3 linked regions of the Drosophila melanogaster genome follow. The protein of the gene in region 2 purifies or fractionates together with the protein of the main gene of each other region. This does not show direct contact. Each region holds a gene or a part of one and is shown on either strand. Other genes may lie near its edges. The genes, in order: CG7924, CG6180 and Dhrs4.

Region 1 (5,154 bases), on a different chromosome or scaffold from region 2:
CCCATTCATTTCGAAGGCAAATAGTCAGTTTAAGACGCCACTTTATATCAACAGAACATAGAGCAGAACCAAGGACGATTTGAATTACATAGATAGTACATAGTACACTAAAGGACCGTCAGTCAGTTTTCCCAAATATAGGCATCTGGCAGTTTGAGAGTTTGTTTAACTCATACGCCCCAAATTACAAAAAGGAAATAATTAAAATTAATTAAAATTAAAAAACAACTTAAAATTTTCATTAATCATATACACTTGAACCTTTCGTAAACACGTTTTATAAAAAAGTAATTAAATGATATTAGAAAAATTACGTTCTTATACAGGTGTTAAAAAAATCAGCGCTTATTAATTACTTCAAGATTCCTTTCTTGTTGAAACATTATTAATTTTTAATTTGTTAGGCTTTATTAAAAATTGCAAGAATACTTCTACCAAAGTTTAAAATCAGTTTCTAGATCAAGCAAAGTTTACTTGACTTACAAATTTTAGAAGAAAAAATTACTCTTTTCTATGTTATGTATGCATTTAATTAAATGTTTTTTTTTATGTTTTTACACAAATTATATTGTATTGATATAACACTATGACTAAGAGTAATCGCCATTTTATAGCGCCAGTTCCTCCTCCTTGCATCGCCTCATGCAAACTCCCAGTCGGCACACATCCTCATCCACTGCACGGAACGACAAATCGCGGTGTTTGCAGTTGAAGGTGTTCATTACGCACTGATTTGCAAACTCATGGATGCAGATTCCATTGTGGGCACAAATGGGCGAGTACTCGAACTTGGTGCATAGCTCATCGCAGTTTTCCATAGATGGTGGTGTCATCATATCCACTGGCGACGTAGTGGTCGTGCCACCCATCAGAAGATGGAAACAATTTCTGGTGGGTACTCGCTTGGGCATTGATGTAGATGCGGGTGCGCTGGTGGTACGACTGCTGGGCATTACAACAACTGGTTTAAGTTCGGAAGCATCGGGATTGGGTATGCCAGGATTGGGGATTCCATGGTTGGGGATGCCAGGGTTAGGGATTCCATCATTAGGAATGCCGCGGTTTGGAATTCCATGATTAGGGATTCCAGGGTTGGGAATACCGTGATTGGGAATGCCAGGATTCGGGATTCCATCATTAGGAATGCCACGGTTTGGAATTCCATGATTAGGGATTCCAGGATTTGGAATTCCATGATTAGGAATGCCAGGATTTGGGATTCCATCATTAGGAATTCCACGATTCGGTATTCCATGGTTAGGGATGCCAGGATTTGGGATTCCATGGTTAGGGATACCAGAATCCGAAACTGATCTTGTCACCCGCACCTTATTATCAGACTTCACAGTAGGTGGCACCACTACCTCCTGGACAACATGGACCTTTCCCGGCTTGATCTCCTGCACGGTGGCGATCTCTTCCCGTTCCTGGTTGGTCAGGATCACGGGCTTTCCATTGGACAGCAACGGCACTTGGATAGTAATCCGACCGATTTCTGCATTTGGCACAACCTGCGCTGTGGTGAAGACGAAACACAGCAGCACTGGAAAGTACAAAAGTCAAACTCAATTCTGTTTCAATCGAAAATGATATTCAATTGCCCACCTGCGGCCAAGTGATATTGTGGCTTAAACATCCTGTAACTTTAACTCCAATGTCTTCTCTGTCCTTCACTGCTGCAGAACCCGGCTTATATAACGCGTTCAAATCGAAAAGATCTTATGCAATCTTTCCTGGAAAGCAAACCTGTTCTTCGCGTCACGCTTCCTTAATAAATTAAACATTTATGTGCATTGTCTTCAAACGAGTTTCGCCAATTAGTATCGCTTTTATTTTAGGGCCAGTCCAAAAAAAAAAGGCGGGCCTGTGTTTATAAAATATTCTTCTTTTTATTTTGATATAAGTTCAGCGACTTGCATCTAGTAAATTACATTTAAAATTCCATATTTCGCAGCATGTCATTAAACCTTATGGACTTTTTTGTTAGAGTTATCTAAGCCTTAGTACATTTTTTAAAACATCCGTTTAAGGCAATAAAATTTTGATTAACGATTACACATCGATTATCGAGTTTTCTTGGATATTATTATAGCTAAATTAGGGTTGACCGCTTGAGTTATTCAGTTGCTAAGACTATTAGGGATCGCTTTCGTTGGAGCTATCATGTGTCATCCCTAAACGTTTGCACATTATGTCCATTTAATGTTGTTTTATATGCAGAGTAAGATTAGTTTTATCTGTGCTATACATTGACATATGTGTGTGGATTAAGATATAACTTCTGAATTGATAAACTCCTCGTGATAATTGCTCTCATTTAGACTCACATCAAACTAAAACTCCGTCTTTGTATCCTGGGATTGTCCATACCATAAACGCAAATTTTTTGATAGATTTTTGTAACTACATTACAGGCAAACTAGGGAAGATCTTTTCGGAGAGTGCAAAATATGGATAGAAAGATTTAAGAAGTATGCATGTGATGGAAAGATTTGAAAAATGGAGCACTTGTCCTAGCAAAAACCTTCTTAGCTGCCATGACGAAATTGGAAATATTTCCTGTCAAGCATCAACAGTTCATAAAATCTCTTTATGCTATACACATTCACAATTAGATTTTCTGGCAATTATCAATAAATTATTGGGTTCCATTTCATTAATAAGTGAAAGATTTTTTACGACTTAAAATCTAACAATATTTATAAGTAATATCTTTATGGATCAACAACACGAACTATACAAAACGCAAACTAGAAACGAAGGAAAATAAACTTTTACATAATTTTGGACTCTCTTTATACAAAACATAATCTAATCAAATTAAGGACTTTTTTATCATTTTGACATGCAATCTTTGTGTTCTCTGCGTTGTTTTGGTTTAAAAATCTACATTAAATTGTTATAAAATAAATTATGACTTAAGTTAGGCATAAATACATGTATAGAGTGTAGCTTAAAAAGTTAACATAGAGTATGGTTTAGTTAGTTTATTAATTTTAGGTAATGTTAGGTGGTTGTGACACTCTGCCGAGTGCCTAGGGTTGGTTTATTCTTCCAGTAGACTGCACTACTTTCGCTCCATGGGCTTGACTTCCAGCAATTGAGGATAGTTCTCCACGATGTTGAGTAGAATGGTATCAATATAGTGCTTAAGCCGAACATTTTCATCCTCCTTTTCCTGGAAGGCCTGTTGTAGCTGCAAAACATACATTATTATTAGTATTTCGAAAAATATTAAGGCAACACACAAAACATGGATAAGAAAAGAATTTGAAATGTTTATATATACACAAATGAATGTTATATAGTTAGCCAGGTGATAAATTGTCCGTAATAAGTTTGATCGAATAAAAAAAAACCAATAACCAATATTAGTTTTAAGTCAAATTTTGTTTAGGTCAAACTGCATTGCGTGCACAGTGGCTCCAAAACCGTGTTTTATTATTTGTTCTTTTTGTTTGCGGCTTTTGCGTGATTGAAGCATTACCTGACTTAAGGATGCTAATGTGGCTGAATCCACAGAATCCTGTAATACAATAAATGTCAATTTAAATACACATGTGGGCTAAGATAAGATAAATGGTTTTTAAAATAAGCGCAGGGCAGTACGGACACTAGTAGGACACTTTAAAACTGTAGGTTCCAAAATAGCATTTTAATCAGTTTTCTTTTGCAGTGACTGTGCGTGTGCTTTTGGACTTGGCATCTAGACTGTGTTTTTGTGGGTGTGGGAATGATGGATTGGACTACACTAAAAGCGGAAGCAAGCGACGTAACAGATGGACTCAAATACAGACCTGGGCTTGTGACATCTCCTCGAGCTCCTGAGCCAAACTGTTGAGTGTTCCGTTCAGCAGATGGCGACCCTGCTCCACGCCATTTGTCAGCATGGTGGCCTGGTTGGTCAGCATCGTGGCCTGCAGCTCCTCGTTCTGTTCTTCGAGGGCTAGTAAAGAAAAAATGTGCATATTGTTTAGTTGTAAGCCCTCAAATATAATATGTTTACATACTTCGGTTCTTCTGGCGCATCTCCTCGAGCTCCTGATGCAGCTCCTCCAGTCTTATGCTCTCCGGCGATGTGGTCGGCATTGCCCGGGCTCCACTCTCCTCGCGAGCACGCTGCAGTTCCCGGCCCAGCTCCAGCATCAGCTCCTCGGTGGACTTCTTCTCCTGTTCGTGGCGGCGCAGTGCCTGTGCCTGCTCCTCGTGCTCCTGTTGCAGGACGCCGATTTGGTCGCGCGCCAGCTCCAACTGTTCCTCGGTGCGATGGAGGTCATTGGCCTGCTTGTCACACAGGACACGCAGTCGGGCGGCTTCTTCCCGCAGTGCCGTTGCCTCGATCTCGGTGGCACGGATCTTCATCTGGCAGTTCTCGTTCTGCAGCGAGGCTTCACGCTCCACGCGGGCCAAAATCTCGCGGTGCCGCTTCTGCTCCTCTGCCAAACGCTCCTCGGCACGCAGTTCCGACTGCAAGAAAAGAGTTATGATTAAATCTCATAATCTCATAAATTGATTGTTATTGGGATTAATCAATCTGATGACATTACATAAATATATTTTTCTGAGCAAAGTAATTTAGTTGCTTTAAATTTGATAAATTTAATTACTATCTTTCTAAAAACTCACTCACAAACTCTACAAACTGAATACACAAAAACAAAATTATTATTTGTCGAAGAAGTTTGTTTTGTTTTTCTTGACCTCTTTCATATAGCGTACTTCCTATCTACCATTAACTATTTTTTTATAATTAAACAAGTATATATTTAATACTTAAATAAATAAAACTCGAATGAATTATTAAATACAAACCTCTCGGTACTGCTCTTCGAGCATGTGATAACGCGCCTGAAGGACTGCATATTCGGTCTTGGTGCGGGTTGTCCGATCCTCAGCTATATTCTGTGTATCTGACAGATCGTCCACCTTGCGCTGCAGCAGTTCCAGCTGTAAATATATAGAAAAAGAGAACTGATAAGTCTATATTCCAATACAAAGGTTCGTGCATCGACTAACACAATCTTTTTTCATGTGCCGCAGATCGAGGAGAAGATCGTTCACCAACTGCACCTCAGCCATGGGATATTTCACATACATTTGCCTATATATATATATATATGGTGTGCAAATGATTATATATTTGCTGATATATCT
Region 2 (5,173 bases):
TGCACCACGGCATGGGCACACCAATGTGGTAGTTTATATCTTCTTGTGCTCCGGCATCGGATCTCTGACTGTGATGTCCTGCAAGGCATTGGGCCTAGCCATACGGCAGACGCTGAATAACGGAGGCAACGTCTTCCTCACATGGATGCCATGGTTCCTGATCCTGGTCACCGTCACTTTCATAGCCATCCAGATGAACTATCTGAACAAGGCGCTGGATATATTCAATACTAGTATAGTTACTCCAGTGTACTATGTAATGTTCACCACCCTGGTGATAGCTGCGTCTGCCATCCTCTTCAAGGAGTTCACCCACATGCGGTTCGATGATATTCTCGGCGATGTGTGCGGCTTCCTGATCGTTATCACAGCTGTGTTCCTGCTCAACGCGTTCAGAGATATTGATATATCGCTGAACGATGTACGTGGACTGATGCGACCGAAAATGCAGCGGGTGTCGCAGTTCGACGAGGAGGTGCTGGTCACCAGCAATACCAAGGAACGGCGGCTGTCCTACGGATCCAGCGACATCTTCCGGAAGGCCTGACACAAGCAGCGCTACCAGGTCTAGTTACATCCCTTGCAGCGGCTGACCTGAAGACAAGGTTGCTTTACTCCGTAAACGAGGCATTGGTCCAAATATCTGTGCATATCACCTGCAATCACTTTCATCTCATCATTTCCATTTATTGTTCCTTCACTCTTGTTATTCATACATTCGCTAGCATAAGCACATAGGTTTAGGTTACACTTACATATATTAAACACGACTTAATGAAAACGATTTGTAATTGTAGTTTTATTTTTTGATTTTTGATATGATATTCGTATCTATGTATTACTAAAAAAAAACCATTAAAATATTCTACTACATTGGTAAATGTAGGTCGTTCCAAATCGAACGACAATATTCATTGCAAATAATGTGAGTACATGCTCAATCGGATTTAGTAAAATAAATCTTCAAGTTATTTTCAAGGTTTGTTAGTTAGTAATTTAATGAAGTATCTATGTATTCTGAATTTCGCCCTTGCTGGTCTTATCTGGATATTTTAATCCGTTCAGCCAGATGCAGTTGCTCAGACTTTTAGCGGTGTGAAATGAGTCATCGGCTGAGTTATCCGGACTGTTCTCCACTGGCGGAAGATCCTTTGGTCTACGAATCTTTCGTGGCGTGAAGAAGTCGCGATCTGTGATTAAAGGAAATCGCTGGCTTTCATTTGGAGCAACCGCAGGTAAGCTGATCTGCGGCTGGAGTGTCAGTGAGTCCTGTTTCAGGGTCATTCTTCCGAAGTTCCGGATGATGGCAATCGCCTCCACGTCCACCATTGTGGTGTCCTCCCAGTCCTCCATTGTGGCGTGCTCTCCCAGCGGCTTGGTGCCAGCTACTCTCTGAATCGTCTCCATCATTTGCAGACTTTGACGAATCTCTCGGCCCTTTCCACCCCGCGTGCCATATCCAAGCAGATCCTCGCGGGCTGTCAAAAGCTCATAGGTATGAATGGGAACGGATTCTGAGAATTCCTCTTTCTTCCTCAGTTCATAGGCGATCTGTCCATGGACCAGATTAAAGTGCGGCTCCAACTGCACCAGATCGTGCTCGAATCGTGATGTGGGAACCCAAGCCATGATGATTTCAGTTGCTTATAGTATTCTCACAGCCTTATTTTCATTTCCCGGAAATGCTTTTCTCAAGTAGACTGCGCAAATATTTTCGAAGATTAGAAATTCAAAATCACACATTCCTATCGATAGCGATAAAAACGTTTAAACGCTTACAGGTGAATCGCAACTTATCGATTGTCAGTCGGCAAATAGAACAATAAACAGTTTTTTAATTAATCCAATTTGGTTTACTTAAGCAATAAGGATGATTTGTATGCGGCTCCGGGTGTTGCGTAATCTCAATCGCAGCGCTTTAAATGGATTTAGAAAAGATTACATCCGATCAACCGGTGTGAATGTCAATTATTCAGCTGTCAACTTTCCGGCCGCCATTAGAACGCTGAAAACTTTTAGCAATTCTATCCTAACCAAGGAACCGAAACCAATCTTTGCATTTATCGCATCTCAGCGGCAGTATTCTTGCGAAAAAGTAGGCAAAACAATGGAGGAGCACTGCGTAGTTCCGGATGTGATCGCCAAGGCACCGGCGCAGACAGCTGTGGTGGAATATCCCGGCGATATTGTCGTGAAGCCGGGTCAGGTCCTGACCCCCACCCAGGTGAAGGATGAGCCGTGCGTGAAATGGGAGGCGGACGCCAATAAGCTGTACACCCTCTGCATGACCGATCCGGATGCGCCCAGTCGCAAGGATCCCAAGTTTAGGGAGTGGCACCATTGGCTGGTGGGCAACATACCCGGTGGAGATGTCGCCAAGGGCGAGGTTCTCTCCGCCTACGTGGGATCCGGGCCTCCACCAGACACCGGACTCCATCGTTACGTTTTCCTGATCTACGAGCAGCGGTGCAAGCTCACATTCGACGAGAAGCGACTGCCCAATAACAGCGGAGATGGACGCGGTGGCTTCAAAATCGCCGAGTTCGCCAAGAAGTACGCCCTCGGCAATCCCATTGCCGGTAACCTCTACCAGGCTGAGTACGACGACTATGTGCCCATCCTCTACAAGCAGCTGGGCGCTTAGTTTCTACGCCAAAAACCATGCTTATATAAGCCAGTCTGAATTGGATTCAAATCTATTGTAACCTAGAAATTAAAGACACCTATGAACACTCTGTGAAACCCTCTGTTGCTGGCAATAAAATTGTTAAAGACATATTAACTAAGCCACTGTATCTTATTACACATTTTCAATATTTTCATATCTTATCTTGTTAATTTGTCTGAAGTAATAATTCGGTTACCCTTTGCTGAGGCAAAACAGTTTCTGTGCTGGTTATGTATTTATTATTCATTCCAATTACAATCTACTTCTTTATCAATAGGATTCTTCTAGCGTCATTTGTATACATACAGATTTCATGAACTTGAGTTTATATCTCGCCAAAATACATGCTTTGAAGATACAAGACATAATTGCTATCGGACCTTCCAAATAGGAAGAACGTTTCTGATCAGTATTATAGTTATTTCCCAGGGCGCAAGAGACGCCCATCTGGGTAAGTTATTTATTTGTAAAAGCATTGCGACATAATTACAATCTACTTCTTAAAGTCAAGAGGATGGTTCTTCATGTGTGCAATAATAAAGGTCTCTAATACAACTAGATGCAGACTCATACAATCCATAAAATAATGCTGAAGAAGAACCCACGCTCTATTTCCTCCTTTGATGGGTCCAGTGCATATTCGGCTGTTGAGAAGGAGGGGAGGTGTCTAGTTTCCAAATTACTTTACTCTATAGAGGGAAAGACAGTGCGATGGTCTTTCCATTCGGTTTCGCTGATTGCCTATAAAAAGCAAGGTCGGAGTTAGTTAGTATGAAATAGGCTGCATGACTATGTTACCAACTTACCACTAGCTCGTCGAAAGCCTGTTTGGCCAGCCAGTGGAAGCATGGACTCTTCCATTCGCGCGCAATCGCCTGCTGATCCTTGACGTCGTCCTCGGCGGTGGACTTGGAATTGGTAATGGCCTTGTACTTGGCCCACAGGAAGACCATGCTGCGCAACTTGTAAACCCACAGGTCATTGGGTATGCCGCGAATAATGTCCTGTATTTCCACCATGTTCAACTCCGTAAGGTTATCCAGGAAGGTGCGGTTCATCAACGTAAAGATCGTCTTCATTGTGTCGTACGGCACGTCGGCATTCTTCTCGAGACCAAAGTGTGCCGACTTTATGATAGCGTAAACCACCTGCTCTGTGGTTAGCTTGGGCAGATTGGGTAGGAAGCAATGCTCTAGATTCAAGTTCCCACACTCCAACAGTTGCTGGTCGATCTCCTCGCCAACATTCTTGTAGTCCTTCCACCAGTTGCCCCAATCATTATATTTCTTCGATTCGTTAAGCGGTGCCCAATCGGACCGTATGCGTTTCCTGTTGCGCTTTGCAATCTTGCGAGCCGACTTGGCGTCGTCGGCCACCGATTCGTCTTCCGAATCTTCGTTGAGCACTACGGCCGCCTCTACGAAGTCCTCCTCGGTGGCGTCCTGGTTTGTACTGTAATTGAAGGTTTGTTCGAAGAAGGTCAAGGCATATGAGTCCGCCTCCGGCTGTGGGAGCTTCTTCGGCTGATCGTTGAGATAGGGAATCTTGAATCCGCCAATAAGGAAACCGCGCTTGCGTGCCACGCGTCGCCATTTCTTGACCGACTTGGAGGCAGCCTCCGTTTCCAGCGGTGGAGGTGGGGCAACACGCTTCTGACCTGCAATGCATAACATATTAGGAACTTGTGTATGGTAAAACTATTCCTAGTTGCTTTGCAAAACTCTACTAAATGAATTGGAATAGTTAGAAGAAAGTTTTGTAATGCAACCTTACGAAATAGAACTGAATCTTACTAATTTGGACGGGGAATCCAGGAGCGTTTGGCGGCCTACTGGGCACTCCTGCTGGTTTGCCTCCTTGTGGTCCACCTTTCACTGCCTGCTGGCCAGTTCTAGGTGCCAGTGGTCCCGACTTCTGCAGCTGTGGTCCAGTTTTCAAGCCCTGTTGTCCAGTTCTCAAGCCCTGTGGTCCAGATCTCAATCCCTGTGGTCCAGCTCTTAATCCCTGTGGTCCAGTTCTTAATCCCTGTGGTCCTGTCCTGTTTGCCTGCGGTCCGGTCTTCACGGCTGGTGCGGCCACCGGTGGCTTCTTGTTGGTAACCGAGACCGTTTTCGAATTGGGTGTTACGTTATTGACTTTATACTGATTTGGTGCTGCAACGGGCAGCTTTTTCTGTACTCCAGTCGCATTGCCCGGACGCAGGTTGGCGGTCTTGTTGTTGCGCAGAGTGGGCGCACCTGCGCTTTTGACGATTTCAGCCTTCTGAGGATTGTTGCGCAAGTTCTGGACCGCCTTAGCGGCTGGCTGTGGAGCTGGCTTTCGAACAGATCCGCTGTTGTTCAGATTCATCTTCTGCAGCTGATTGCGCTTCGAGTTGAAGGCGCGCTGACCAGCTTCCCATCCAGAGCCACCGGAACCTACTCCTCCTCCGCCGCCGGCACCGCCTCCTCCACCACCGCCGCTTCTTCCTCCACCTCCGCCACCACCACCACTGTTCGATTGATA
Region 3 (5,128 bases), on a different chromosome or scaffold from region 2:
CAGCTGGTGGAGATCAGGAAGCAGAAATCACGCACATACGCAGCAGCGGGCAAGATTCAGTCCATTGGCTACCAGAACAAGAACATGGGCGCCAATATCGCCCTAAGCGAAGCCATGGGCACCACGGCCAAGACGATGGGTGAAATGAATAAGGTGATGCGACCGGAGGCCATCGGGGAAACAGTGCGCCAGTTCCAGGCGGCCAACATGAAGATGGAAATGACCGACGAGATGATCAACGACACGCTGGACGACATGCTGAATGAGTCCGGCGACGAGGAGGAGTCCAATGCCGTAGTCAACAAGGTGCTCGACGAGATCGGCATCGAGATCTCCGGCAAGATGTCCAGCATCCCGGCCACGGGATCCTCAGACTTTGAGACGAGTGGCAAGCGCACCGAGAAGGACATTGCCGATCAACTGGCCAAGCTGCGCTCCTCTTAGTCCTTACCTGTTTTTCATTCTATTTTGTAACTACTGTGAACATCGCTGTTATCCATAGCCCGTAAGAAATTATATTTATGTACACCGCTTACAAACGAGCTGTCATTCCACCGCCAGCCACAATGGACTCTCCGGTAATGTAGCCCGCATCCTCGGAGACCAAAAAGGAGACCACGCCAGCCATCTCCTCACTGGTGCCCAGACGACCCATGGGTATTTTGCTCAAAGCCGCTTCATTCGCCGACTCATTCTCGTACAGTGCTTTCGAGAACTTTGTCCTGATGACTCCTGGAGCCAGGCAGTTGACGCGAATGCCCTCGGGCGCCAGATCCTTGGCGGCTGCCTTGGTCAAGCCAATCAGCGCGGTCTTGCTGACGGAATAGGCTCCCAGTAGCTATGCGATTAAGATAACGGAGATAAGCATTGAACAACTGAACCGCAGATAAGGCGACTAACCTCAAAGGCATCATAGCCAGCAATGGAGGAGACGAAAACGATGCTGGAGTTCTTTTGCTGGCGCAGGAGAGGCAGTGCCTCCTTGGCCAGCAGATAGGAACTCTTCACGTTCACATCGAAGATCTTGTCCCACACCTTCTCATCGCACTCGAGGACACCGCCGACCGCAGGATTGGTGGCTGCATTGCTGACCAGAATGTTGAGCTTGCCAAACTTGCTAATGGTCTCCTCAAAGAGCTGTTTGCGATCCTCGGGTTCGCTGACATGGCACTTCAGACCGTGGACATTCAAGTTCAGTTTGCGCAGCTCCGCCAGAGCAGAGTCCACATTCTTTTGCTTGCGACTGCTGATGACCACTGCGGCGCCATCTTCGGCCAGCCTTTTGGCAATCGCGAAACCAATGCTGGGAGGGATTAATCAGAATTTAGTGGGTGCGATCCTCTCCAGTTTCTATTGAGCTGCTTACCCATCGGTGGAGGCGGTGACCACGGCTACTTTTCCTGCCAAACGCTTCATCGTGCCGGCTGTCGAACTTTGACTACTGCTGGACAAGCGTTTGTGGCATTGATTGAGATTAGGGCCAACAAGTTTTCGGCTGTAATTGTTGCTGTTTTGATCGAAACTTGAACTTTGACCACTTCCACTCACAGCGCTGGCATTCAGACGGATCTTGGGCGCCCTGACCACCAGTTGTTTGCTCAGATGCAACATTTTTGAAGTAGGACTTTTGCGAAGGATCTTGAGATTCGTTGCCTAATAATTGATTTTCCCTATTTTAACTACGAATCTCCAAACTGTTTACTAGTTCTTCTTTTCAGCGGTTTGCCATTCACAGTGAATGAAAAAGCTCATTCGCCGGTGGCGCGAAATTTGAAAATTTATTAAAGTTATCTCTGCAGTGGCTTAGTAATAAAAACCAGATTAACCTACATAATAACTAAAATTAGGGCTAAAAATATCATTTATCCCTAGTCAATATGTTGTAATACTCCACTTAGGGCCACTCAGTCATGGGCAGATAAGAATTCTTGAAAAGAAAATCTTCCCACAGCAAGATAAACGCTGCGTTTCGTAATAATATAAACAAAGATAAATACGCATGACAAACAAACCGCAAAAAGTTGGAGAATCGCTTGACATAATGGACTGTTTTCGGATCCGAAACATATATATGTACTATATATATGTACATACGAGCCGAAAGTGCAAATTAATAGGGGATCGCAGCGATCCGTACGATCTGACTTCATTATAGACGCAGTCGTCGGCGGAATCAGCACGCAAGTGGAGTCTCCGGTTTTCCAAGTCAATCCGGCACGCGCTTACGGCTTTGTTAGTTAGCAACTTTTCGCAACCGTCGGCGGGGCATGTGATACGAAAAAAGGCGCCCATGCTAGTGAAACTAATCAGCAAACTAAAGATACACTAAGCCAAAGAATATTAAGTGAAACACACATAGAACAAGATGAGCGAGCAGACAAAGGAAATCGAAGCTCTGCCGCCCACCTTGCAGGACTTCAAGGCTCCCGATCTGCCGGCCAATAAGCCAGTGCTCTTCTTCCATCCGTACAACTTCCATGCGCAAAAAGTTAGTAACCGCTTGCTTTCAATCATGTGATCATTGAAAAGGTATTTGCCCAACAGATCCAGCCGCTAATGCCGCGAAATTACAAAACTAATCATTTCCAAATGAAATCATCGTTTTATTTACTTTTTTTCTCGTATTTCTTTTGTTTTTTTCGATGTAATAATGGGGTGGCCCGCGTCGAAGGTTCTCCACCCAAGATCTTTATTAAATCTCTCGGCCACTCGGATGCAATGGAGCATGACCTAGCGGGTGGCGGGCCGGAAATGTAGTAGGGCTAGCGCTATTGGAGTTCTCTAGTTTTCCATTCTGTACAGATATGACAGCATATTTACCTGCTGGCTGCTCCAGGTGCTAATGAAGTGGATTGAAGCGGAGTGAAAAAACAAAATAAACAAACTTATGTGTGGAGGAATCTGCTCCAAAAGAACGTAATATAATAACTAAACCGAAATGATTTAATTTAATGCCAGATCGTGTCTAAAAATATCTGTTTTGGTTAATGAAGCGAGTAATTAGTAGCGGAATATTGCATCTTTGGGTTCGTCTTTAGATACATTTAAGCAAATGCACATATATACTTAATATCTGAGTTATAAATCTGCTAATATCATAGCTCAGTTAAAGTGAACCCACTTATCATCGCAGGTTCTTATGGTCTTCTACGAGAAGAAGATCGACTTCTTTCCCTATGTGGTGGACCTGTGCAATGGCGAGCAGTACTCCAATTGGTTCCTAAACCTCAATCCCAAGGGCGATGTGCCAGTGCTCCAGGATGGCGCCCTCGTCATTCCCAGCTCGACGCACATCATCAACTATGTGGAGAGCAAATTTCGCGGTGGTAATTCCCAGTTAGCTACCCGCCCATAGTAACTTGACTTATCAACTTCATCATTTAGATCGATCGCTGAAGCCAGCGCACAACTCCAAGGAATTCGATCAAATGCTGATCTTCGAGCAGGCAATGGCCCGCCTTCCAGTGGGAACACTCAGCCTGGGCTCCTTCATACACGACGATCTGAAGCTGGTGCCCAAGGCGCCCTTCATCGGACCCGTGCGCCAGTCCTGCCTGAGTAAGTTACTCGCACCTGTGAACTCAACAACATAACTCAACAGTCAACACTCGTACGCCCCGCAGAAAACAATGAAAAGGTGCTGGATCTGCTGCGCCACTCGGTGGACGAACAGGCGACCAAAAAAGCAGCGCTGCAGCACAAGCTGGACATACAGTTGCGCCGCCACGAGCTGGCCTCGTCCCGCGAGGAATTCCAGAAGGTTCTGGATGCCGTGCGGCACTTTCTGCTCTATGTGGAGCAGGAGCTAACCGCCCAGGCGCCACGCGTTGAGTGGCTGACCGGCGACGAACTGAGCGTGGCGGATATCTCGCTGGGATTGCTGCTGCATCGACTGTATCAGCTGGGATTCGAGAATCAGTTCTGGACCTTCGGAAAGCTGCCGCAGGTGGAGGCATACTTCTTGCGCTTCCGGCAGCGCGAGTCCTTCCACCGCCTGCAGCCGAGCAACTTTGCCATACTGCGCGAAATGTGGACCCGAACGCCGGGCAACTATAAGCTAGGAGCGGGCGCCGGCTTCCTGGGTATGGCCATGTTCGCCGCCTTCGCGCACAAGTGAGCGGAGCAGCGGGACAGCAGACTTTGTTAACAAATCCTTTTACTGTTAAAGTTGGGCACATATAAACACACGAACATAAGAACGCTTAAAGCTACGCACTGCTGATGAAGGATGCTTGGGGTGTCATGGTAAGAATCCGGCGGTGGAGGAGGATGAGGAGAAGAGCGCGCGATCCAGTGCCAGCCTCGGCTGCTTGCTTAGTAATATCATCATCGTTTCATATCATCGTTGCTGAATATACAAAAATTTGGTATAAATTCCAATCCGTCACCTAACTATCAATTCCTTCTATGCTTGATGGCTGCTCTCCCCTCTGTTGACTTGACCAGGGTTCAGCTCTCAGCTCTCCAGCGTCTGCTGCTCGCGATCCCTTTCCCGTTTCTGCTGATCGGACATCAGCAAATTGGCGGCTGCACTGGCCGCCTTGGGGCTGGTGAACAGCGGCATTCCCATAAACGTGGGTATCTGCTGATCCCTTGGCACTCCCGTCGTTGCCGCCTTGCCATTGAGGTTGGTCCTCGAACTGTTGGATCCCGAGCTCGTGGTGGCCGCACCCGTGGATAAATGCGAGGGTCGCTTGAAGGGGAAGGTGGGTATCTCTCGCTGATAGCTGAAGCTTCCGTTGCCAGGCGCCTCAGGCAGCAGACCGGGCGTGGGATACCAGAAGCGATAGGTGAAGTACCAGGTGAGTATGGCAATAATGCCGCTGATCACCTTCTCGATCATGCGGTGATAGTACAGCATGGTGCCCACCAACATGATGTCCCACAGCAGCTGCAGGGCCGCCATGCCGATGAATAGGGTGCGAATGATCGGCGTCAGGCGTTTGTACAAGAACTGCAGGCTGCGCATTTGCTCCTCGTTCAGCGTTCTCAGCGGATTCGTGCCCGAGTTCTCGGCTGTGCTGCGATTGTGTCGCTCGTTGCGGATGTGCTCCTTGATGGTCTCCCAGCGGATGATGGGACGCGCCTCCTCGATCAGCACCAGGCTGGAGTGGATCAGGATGAAGGC

What was found.
Region 1: the proteins of CG6180 (region 2) and CG7924 purify together in Drosophila melanogaster (affinity purification with mass spectrometry, with the first as the bait; one large-scale study listed by BioGRID). This does not show direct contact.
Region 3: the proteins of CG6180 (region 2) and Dhrs4 purify together in Drosophila melanogaster (affinity purification with mass spectrometry, with the first as the bait; one large-scale study listed by BioGRID). This does not show direct contact.

The regions. Positions count from the first base shown.
Region 1 is NT_037436.4:14,229,969-14,235,122, reverse strand, and holds CG7924 (uncharacterized protein), read right to left. Parts: upstream 1,655-5,154; 5' UTR 1,637-1,654; coding exon 1,606-1,636; intron 1,544-1,605; coding exon 609-1,543; 3' UTR 514-608; downstream 1-513. Other genes in the region: nuf (nuclear fallout), read right to left, coding at 3,068-3,196, 3,488-3,526, 3,798-3,946, 4,011-4,467, 4,813-4,947.
Region 2 is NT_033779.5:12,705,901-12,711,073, forward strand, and holds CG6180 (uncharacterized protein), read left to right. Parts: upstream 1-1,760; 5' UTR 1,761-1,870; coding exon 1,871-2,644; 3' UTR 2,645-2,780; downstream 2,781-5,173. Other genes in the region: spict (spichthyin), read left to right, coding at 1-547; CG15484 (uncharacterized protein), read right to left, coding at 1,009-1,629; CG5787 (uncharacterized protein), read right to left, coding at 3,353-3,409, 3,475-4,325, 4,462-5,173.
Region 3 is NT_037436.4:5,139,940-5,145,067, forward strand, and holds Dhrs4 (Dehydrogenase/reductase 4), read right to left. Parts: upstream 1,708-5,128; 5' UTR 1,612-1,707; coding exon 1,367-1,611; intron 1,304-1,366; coding exon 901-1,303; intron 839-900; coding exon 533-838; 3' UTR 501-532; downstream 1-500. Other genes in the region: CHMP2B (charged multivesicular body protein 2b), read left to right, coding at 1-444; Gdap1, read left to right, coding at 2,366-2,488, 3,134-3,326, 3,385-3,558, 3,624-4,117; Fitm (Fat storage inducing transmembrane protein), read right to left, coding at 4,457-5,128.